Xenopus tropicalis: one gene and its partner. The protein of the gene in region 2 purifies or fractionates together with the protein of the main gene of each other region. This does not show direct contact. Links are inferred from orthologs where the notes say so. Each region holds a gene or a part of one and is shown on either strand. Other genes may lie near its edges.

The links. The genes of interacting proteins can lie anywhere in the genome.
Region 1: the proteins of phf6 (region 2) and lyar purify together in Homo sapiens (affinity purification with mass spectrometry; 3 studies listed by BioGRID and IntAct, with this or other methods). This does not show direct contact. The link is inferred for Xenopus tropicalis from reciprocal best matches to the Homo sapiens genes PHF6 and LYAR.

What each region holds. Positions count from the first base shown.
Region 1 is NC_030677.2:26,336,804-26,341,875, forward strand, and holds the start of lyar (cell growth-regulating nucleolar protein), read left to right. Parts: upstream 1-1,539; 5' UTR 1,540-1,640; intron 1,641-5,072. UniProt on the Homo sapiens protein: Plays a role in the maintenance of the appropriate processing of 47S/45S pre-rRNA to 32S/30S pre-rRNAs and their subsequent processing to produce 18S and 28S rRNAs. Also acts at the level of transcription regulation.
Region 2 is NC_030684.2:68,411,720-68,416,145, forward strand, and holds part of phf6 (PHD finger protein 6), read left to right. Parts: intron 1-2,903; coding exon 2,904-2,947; intron 2,948-3,717; coding exon 3,718-3,878; intron 3,879-4,426.

The DNA of each region.
Region 1 (5,072 bases), on a different chromosome or scaffold from region 2:
TAATGATGTAAATGTGTTGATTTTGCAGAAGCTGAAATGACAGAAATGACAGTATATATGGGGGTATGTTCACATTCGGGCCCCTACATGCCACATACTTGGGTAAACCTATACATATTGGGCATCAAACTGTTCAGTGGACCCCTGGTGTTCAAATTCAGGGTGTTTTATCTTGGTACCTAATGCTATGTGGGAGATAAGATGCTTCAAATTGGAAGCTTTGAGGGGATTTTTGGAAATGTCATCAAAATTGCTAACTTTAGAAAAGCTGTGCGGCTTGGTACTTTGGAGTAGAAAGACATGGGTACCCATTTTAGATTCGGGGGAATGTGTACTTTCCAAAAATATATGACTTTCTGGGGTGAGCGTACTTTTTACTAGCTTCATCCCACATATAATGATGTAAATGTGTTGATTTTGCAGAAGCTGAAATGACAGAAATGACAGTTCATATGGGGTATGTTCACATTGGGGCCCCTACATGCCACATACTTAGGTAAACCTATACATATTGGGCATCAAACTGTTCAGTGGACCCCAGGCATTTATATTTAGGGTATTTTATTTGGTTACTTTATGACCTGTAGGAGATAAGATACTATAGACTAGAAGCTTTGAAGCGATTTTTAAAAAAAATCACAAATTTTGATAAAAACCAATAACTTTAGGAAAGCATTGCAACTTGATAGTTTGGAGTAGACAGACAGTTGTGCCTATTCTGTATTCCCCAGAATCTGTTCTTTCCAAAAATGTACAATTTTCTGGGATAAACCTTCTGTTAGTGGAATTTTGGCCTTGAAATCCAAAGTATGCAGTTTTTTTGGAGCAGTGCTTTGGGAATTTGGTAGTGTACTGCTGGGAGTTTTTGACCTATACAAGTGAGAAATCTCCATAAAACTATATATATTTGGTATTGGCACGTTCAGGAGACATGGGACTTTCCAAATCAGTTGTATATTCGTGCATAAAATAATTTTTGTTTCTAGTATGTGTGATTATATTATGGAAAATTTGATTTTTTTTGCATTTTTAGACATTTAGAAGCCTATATCTTGTTACAGAATTGGAATTACACAAAAATTCTACCATATTTTGAAAGCTTAGGTTGTTCTGAAAAAAACGATATATTGTTTTCCTTGGTAAACTAAAAGTCCCCCCGAGGAAAGGCCCCTAAAGTGAAACAGTGCAAAATGTTCAAAAACTGTCTGGCAATACAAGTTCCGCTTTGACCAAAATGGCTGGCAGTAAAAGGGTTAAGTGTGTGTGTGTGTGTGTGTGTGTGTGTATGTATATATATATATATATATATACGAGGTTGTTTATTTACATATACTATTACATTTGGTGGTCATTCCGGACTGAGCCCCTTACCGTCTGTACGTACGGGCACTGAGGCCCCTCTGGCTCTATCCCTGCCGCACCAACATGAACCCATCAACCGAACGAGTCAAGACTTTCGCCGATAGGTACGTCACTTCCGCCCTCAAGGTCGCGGCGCTGGGAAGCCGGGCGGAAGTGGCGTCACAGTAAATAGTCTGCGCAGTGCGGGAGCGCTACACGTGGGTATAGCTGGCGGTACGGTGGGAGAGAGGCGCCTTAGGCTATAGTGGGACTGCTGCGCCGAGCCCGGGAAGTGGGAGGTAAGGGGTGCCCGATGCAGCGGGTTTCTGAACTGCAACTCGCACAAACTGTAAGATCTATAGAGAGAGACACTATGGGTGTGCTGCTGTTAGACTAGCACTGTGTGTGTGTGTGTATGGGGGGCTGGGTATGGCTGTGTCAGCTAACCCCATGGCATCAGGGGGATAACGATCCTGTTTCAGCTTCGTTTAAATCCTAACGGGATGGATCAGTTATCTCAGTACCCTGTGCCCCCAGCAAAGCCCCCACACTAGCTCTTCTGGCAAAACTGTGCTGTTAAAGGGCATCTAAATGCAAAATATAAACTGGCCTTACTGACAGTGCTCATCCGAGCTATAGTACATAAACTGGCTTCTGACTCTCTCAAGAGACTGCAGGGAGAGCACAGCTGGGGTTGCTGGCACTTTTTGGATCCAAAAAGCTTGGGAATCAGTGTAAAGCTGCCATTATCTCAGTAACCAGTTTAAACTGGAAAAGTGCTCACAGGACTTTAACTTCATTTTTGGGGTTAAATCTCTTTAAGGCTGTTATTACACCTGGCAGTCTCCCCAAGTAGCCAGTGATCACCGACTCAGGGTATCAGACTGCACTAGTGCTCTCCATTAATGTAAAGCTGCCAATACAAGTAGAGAGATTTCCATATAACTGGTGAACAGCCAAAGGATTTTTCAGTAGCTAGAACACCGGAGAGTTAAAATGAACAGAAAGGTAGGGCAGCGGATTGGCCGTGTGTAAAGGTGCCACTTGGGAAGCAGTATTGCTAGTGCCACACAGGGATGATTCTTGGCCTGTGGAGAAAAAATGAAGCAGCGTGTGGAAGCGGATCTACTTCTCTCAGCCTGACGGATAAATGCTAAATGAGAGAAGTGGACAAACCGCTCCCTGTGTCCAAGTCCTTAGGGTGAAGACACACAGAGCTACTTAGTAGCAGCTACTTCTCACGGCTACACCAGAAAATACTCTGCCATAGACAATACTGAGAATTGCCTCTTGTAAAACGTAGAGACAATTATCAGCATTGTCTATTTTAGTAGCTGCTACTAGTAGCTCCATGTGTCTTCACCCTTAGGGCTCTGGCACACGGGGAGATTAGTCGCCCGCGACAAATCTCCCTGTTCGCGGGCGACTAATCTCCCCGAATTGCCATTGTAAGTCGCCGGTGGGATGGCACACGCTGCGCAGGCGATTTCAGCAAATCGCCGAAGTTGCCTTGCGAGGCATTTTCGGCAATTTGCAGAAATTGTGCCGCCGCGTGTGCCATCCCACCGGCGACTTACATTTTCGCCGGTGGGATGGCAACTGATGGTAACTCGGGGAGATTAGTCGCCTGCGAACAGGGAGATTTGTCGCGGGCAACTAATCTCCCCGTGTGCCAGAGCCCTTAGAAACATCACCTTTGCCACTACCTTATCAGATTAAGCACACTTGATCAGAGATTATCGTCTGCCTGAACTAAACTGATTAAAGCAACAGTAACACCAAAAAATGAAAGTGTATAAAAGTAACTAAAATATAATGTGCTGCTGCCCTGCACTGGTAAAAGTTGTGTGTTTGCTTCAGAAAGTCTACTATAATTTATATAATTAAGCTGCTGTGTAGCCATGGAGGCAGCCATTCAAAGGAGAAAAGGCACAGGCACATAGCAGATAACAGATAAAACACTATTGTATTCTACAGAGCTTATCTGTTATCTGCTATGTAACCTGTGCCTTTTCTCCTTTTGTTCCAGCTTGAATGGCTGCCCCCAGGGCTACACAGCAGCTTACCGTATATACTCGAGTACAAGCCGAGTTTTTTAGCACTAAAAATGTGCTTAAAAAGTGAACCTCGGCTTATACTCGCATATATACGGTATCTGAATTAAATGCATAGCTGCACGCGCCCTAACTTGCGTGCTGACGCGTGGCATCGTTGCCGAGCGGGGGCTTCTCCTTACAGGTATGAGCATTAGGGCACCGATCTGTAGCGCCGCTTTGTGCCATTTCATTATTTTATTGGGGTATTTGCTGAGCTCTCAGGGCACCGATCTGTAGCGCCGCTTTGTGCAAGTTGAAGCTGCTCCAAACTAATGGCGCCTCCAGCCCAACAGCGCAGAGCAAGGGAACGATGTGCGGGCTGAATGCACAATTACAGTTTACATTCTTTTCTGCAGGTAATTCCATTCTTTGCTACAAGGCTCGGCTTATATTGCTTCCAATGAATTATTTTGACATTGGGAATGTCACATCCCTCAGACATAAGGCAGATATTATAGGAGGGGTGCAGGCACTTTCACATAAGGATTTCCTTGTATGCCCCCCATATTGCCAACAAAGGGGCCATAAAGTGGGGTGCAATCCAATGCAAACACCATGGTTCCCACTTTCAATGGAGCCCCACAGAACAGTAGCTGCACGCAGAGGCAGTTGTGCCCTACATACCCATCCATAGGCGAAATGGAACAATATATATAATTGCCCCTTATTGGGGGCAGAACAATCCTATTGGGTTTATTTCATGGTTAAATGATTCCCTATCTTGCTCCCTTCCCATTGTTCTGCTGATTGGCTGCTGGGGGTGAGGGGGGGATATCACTCCAACTTGCAGCGCAGCAGTAAAGTGTGCCCGAGTCTGAGCTTTCAGAAGGAGCCAGCGCTACACATTAGAACTGCTTTCAGGTAACCTATTGTTTCTCCTACTCCCATGTAACTGGGGGAGTCCCAAGCTGGACTTGGATTTCTTACTATTGAGTGCTATTCTGATACCTACTGGGAGCTGCTATCTTGCTCCCTTCTCATTGTTCTGCTGATCGGTTGCTGGGAGGGGGGTGATATCACTTCAACTTGCAGTAGCGGCTGCATTTCCCACCCTATAGGCTTATACTCGAGTCAATAAGTTTTTCCAGTTTTCTTAGGTAAAATTAGGTACCTCGGCTTATATTCGGATCGGCTTATACTCGAGTATATACGGTATTATAAAAATTATAGTAGTGTTACTGTAGCAAACACACCAGTTTTACCAGTGCAGGGCAACAGTGCATTATATTTTTATTACTTTAAAGCTCTTTCATTTTTTGGTGTTACTGTTTCTTTAAAATTGTTAAACCTTGCCTCATTGACCCAGCAATATGCACCGTACTAGGATGTCTATCAATTGTTCCTTGGGTCCACATGTTCCAAAACTCATACAAAGCCTCATATCTGACAATTTTTTTTTTTTACTACTATTGTAATGTTTAATTTTTCTGCAGAACAGGATCATACGTAGATTGGGAACTTGCATCCATGCATTGAAAATAATGGCACCCAGAAATGTAGAATATGTGACACTGGCACTCTGTAACTTGAATGTCAGGTCAATTGTGCAATCGTTGGTCAGTTGGCATTAGTTAGTTGCGTATGGATTAATTGCTAGCTATGGGTCTGCCAGGACATTAACTAGAATGTTTTCTC
Region 2 (4,426 bases):
TGTTAGCATTACTAACTTTGGCATCCTGTACATTATACTGGATTATATACCTGTTATTAAAATATAAAAAAAACTATTGTAAGTCACCTTCAGTTTCCTTAGGCCTTTTGCTTTTGAATGCATGCAGAACTTATGATTTCTGAAAAACTTAAAAGTTACAGTTGGGGTACATTACCTGGAATAACTTGTTCTGTCAGTACAGTTGTTAGTTGACTTATACTCAGAAAACCCAAGGAGATAGTAGCAGTAGAAATTTCAAGGCAAGTCGAACCTACACAAAATTAGTCTGCTGGCATCTTATGTGGTTCTTTAGTCTAACAGAGACGCATGTACATTTAATAATGTCACAGACCATTTTGTATGCATTAAAACCAGTGAGCAAAATAATTTCCATCACATGAACCAGATGGCAATAGCCTTTCTCTCTCTTCTTCTCTCTCTCTAATTTTTTTTATATACATAAAACCATACTGTGGTTTGCCATGCAAATGGATCTAAACATGTGTGCCCAACTTAAAGGGACAGTAAATACCCCTTTTCAGGATAAGCTAAATGTATAAGGATTGTGCTTAACATACTTTTTGCTTTAATTGAGATATATCTATGATTACTGTTATTTGTGGACTAAACAAGAATTTTGAAGCCAGTTTCACTTTAGCACTTTCTGTGCTTCCTGATCCCACAGAACAGTGCTGTCCAACTGGCGGCCCGCGGGCCGCATGCGGCCCTCGACCCCCCTCTGTGTGGCCCCCCACCTGTCTGGCTGCTTTGATGGCTTACCTTTGAGTAAGCATTAAATGGTATCAGTACTGAGATTAACTGCCCCCTGCATTGCTCACACCTCAGATTCAGGCTGTAATCCCTCTGTATTGTTTAAAAATGTAATCCCCTGTGTTTTTCACACCTTTTAATACCTGCATTGTTCACCCCCTGCAGTGTTCACACCTCAGGCTCAGCCTGTAATCACTCCCATTGTTCACTTCTTCACACCTCAGACATAGGTACTGTAGGCAGAGTATGGCACATACAGCCAGCATAGGGCAGGTAGAGTATGGCACATACAGCCAGCATAGGGCAGGTAGAGTATGGCACACACAGGCAGCATAGGTCAGGGAGGGTATGGGACACACAGGAAGGGTAGGGCAGGTAGAGTATGGCACACACAGGCAGCATAGGGCAGGCAGAGTATGGCACACACAGGCAGGGTAGGGCAGGCAGAGTATGGCACACAGAGGTAGCATAGGGAAGGCACAGTATGGCACACACAGGCAGGGTAGGACAGGCAGAGTATGGCGCACACAGACAGCATAGGACAGGCAGAGTGCTGCCTGTGTGTGCCATTCTCTGCTTGCCCTATGCTGCTTGTGGGAGGTGAACCTGGCAGGGGTTTGTTGTGGGAGTTTGTTAGCAGTTGGAAATAGCCATTAAATGGTCCCTAAGGTGTGTAGTTATGTACTGGGGGTTGCTCTGCTATCCACAGGGGAGGAGGGGGCATATGGAATTTAAGGGTATATCTTAATATGACATAATTCTTTCACATATGAATGATGGTCGATATCCCCACAGTAAGGACCAAGCATTTGGGATTTTGCTGTGCTACCACCATTGTGATAAAATAGGTGTGGTTTGAAGTGGGTGTGGTTTCAAAAAGGGGAGTGGTCAAAACTGGCTTCCATTAGCGGCCCTCCACCATGTATGCTAGAGAAATTCCGGCCCTTGGCACCGTAGAAGTTGGACAGCACTGCCACAGAACATCAGAGGAGTTAATAAAACTGATTACTAGTCCGGCAAGAAGCACCTGATAATTACCTGCTCAAAGACTGCTGCTTATAGAGGGGAGGGTTTTGTTTGTTCAAAGGTAGATTGGGAGCTCTGAAAAAATTGCCCTGTTTATAAGGCTGATGCCACACGAGATGTAGGGCTGAAATTTTCAGCAAGCGGAAAAGCGCTTGCCGAAAATTCAGCCCTACGCCTGCTACTTGTGCCTGCACCCGAATGATTGGGATACGCTCGGGTGCAGGCACAAGTAGCCGCTATACGCATGAAAACGCGAGACTTTGCATTCTCTCGCGTTTTCATGCGTATATCGGCTACATGTGCCTGCACCCGAGCGTATCCCATTCATTCGGGTGCAGGCACAAGTAGCAGGCGTAGGGCTGAATTTTCAGCAAGCGCTTTTCCGCTTGCCGAAAATTTCAGCCCTACGCCTCGTGTGGCATCAGCCTAAAGGGGGTGGGGGGTAAGGTGAAAATAGCCCATTTTTCAAATTGACGTTTTATAATGGCCAAAAATAGAAAAAATACTTTTTTTTAAATTAAGACAATAGGCATATGTAATTTCAATACAAGTTCTGTTTATTGCAGTAATTTTTAGCAAAGGTGTTTTAGGTGTATACTGTTACTTTAGGGCTATGGCACACAGGGAGATTAGTCACCCGCGGCAAAACTCCCCTGTTCGCGGGCGACTAATCTCCCCGAGTTGCCTTCCCCTGCCATCCCACCGGCGAACATGTAAGTCACCGGATGGATGGCAGATGCGGCGACGCGATTTCGCGCAAATCGCCGAAAAAGACTCGCAAGTCTTTTTCGGCGATTTCCCAAAATCGCCCCGCCGCGTCTGCCATCCCACCGGCAACTTCATTGTTCGCCGGTGGGATGGCAGGGGAAGGCAACTCGGGGAGATTAGTCACCCGCGAACAGGGAGTTTTGCCGCGGGCGACTAATCTCCCCGTGTGCCAGAGCCCTTAAGTTTGCATTTTCAGAGGTGACAGCTGTTTAGAGAATGGGATCTCCTGTGATGGAAGAGCTACATCTGTTGGTATATGTCTGCCAGTAGACAATAAATTAAATTTTTACCCTGTTATTCCTGTCTTAAATAATAACCACATAGTATTTCTGTTACAGGATTTTTTGTAGAAAGCATAAGGAACAGGTGCAAAATTCAGATGGTGAGTTTTTTTGTTTCCCAAATGTCTCTTGGGCTTAGGTGTTTTTGTATTAGCTCTGTGTGGAGTAAATGTAAATTTTGGCATTATAGACTCCATTTTGCATGCATTCATTTAAATTCAGAAATATGTAGATAAATTAACTCTTAGTCAAAAATTTTATCCAAAATTTATACATTCATACGTTATTCTACAGTATCTCACTCTCAGCAACCTGTCAGGCTCCATGCTCTCTTTATGCTGAGGTCTGGGTCAGATTTTGATCAACAGGTAGGTCAAAGATGTCTTTTAGGGGGGCTCCCTTTCCTAGCAGATGTACTAGAGCTAACTTAAATACCCAACTCAAGCACAAACAAAAGCTAACAAAATAACTGACTCTATCTCACACCTTGCAAGCAGAGAAACAGGGTTTCCATCAGAGCCGGTTATTTTGAAAGAGTGAGCTCTAATACATGTTCTAGGCAGAAGGTTACACCCCCCCCCCCCCCCAAAGGATTTATTAGCCCTAACTGTCTGTGAAAACCTGACTCCACCTTCTGCGCAGAGAGAGAAAGATTGCCGAGAAGGGCAGAATGAAGAGTAACTTTATTATCTTTTACAAGAAACTACAAAGGCTATGGCATTCCTCCCAAGCCATATGGTCTGGTGTAAGTGAGATAGCAGCCAGCCGAGATTAGGCAGTTTATAGAAAGTACATACATATTTGTACATACTATATCAATCCATTGTACATAATATATATAATAGTTTTGTTTTTTTTCTTTTACTTTCAGATGAATTAGAAGGTAGTTTTACACGCAGAGGTTTGGCTCCTCAACGTGGTCGAGGAAGAGGGTCCAGAGGAAAATCACGGACATCAAATTCTAGAGGGCAGTCTGAGGAGAGCAGACTTTCATCTTTACATTGTACAGAAGAAACTGAAAGCAGCTCGAGTGTGAGTTATTGAAGTTAAATAATTGTCAAGCCTAGTGTAGGGTGGTACTATGGCATGCATTTTTTTGGTAAATTCCCCATTTTTATTTCACACCATATTAAAAAAAAAAGTAACAAAACAATCAGTTGTTCAAAATTAATGTTTATATTTTATACTTGCTTACACCTTCATGATTCCATGGGCAGAACTTGTGAGGCTGAAAGTGCTAGTCACCCTATTATTATTTTATTACAAGTTAATTCTAACAATTGAAATATACCTTTCCTCTAGTTGAAATAATTTACAGCTGTGCGCTATCAAAAGAAAAATAACCAAGTTTTCCTGTCCGGCAAATGGGATATATGAAGAGCACACACACACATATATATATATATATATATATATATATATATATATATATATATATATATATATATATATACAGAGAGAAGAGATCCTCTGCACTCACCTATTATAAACAGAACAGGGATTGTTTTTCCATAACAGTATATTCAAGCTGCGTCAGTCATCCCCATTGTGGCCAATCTTACACTCACTCCCATCTGATT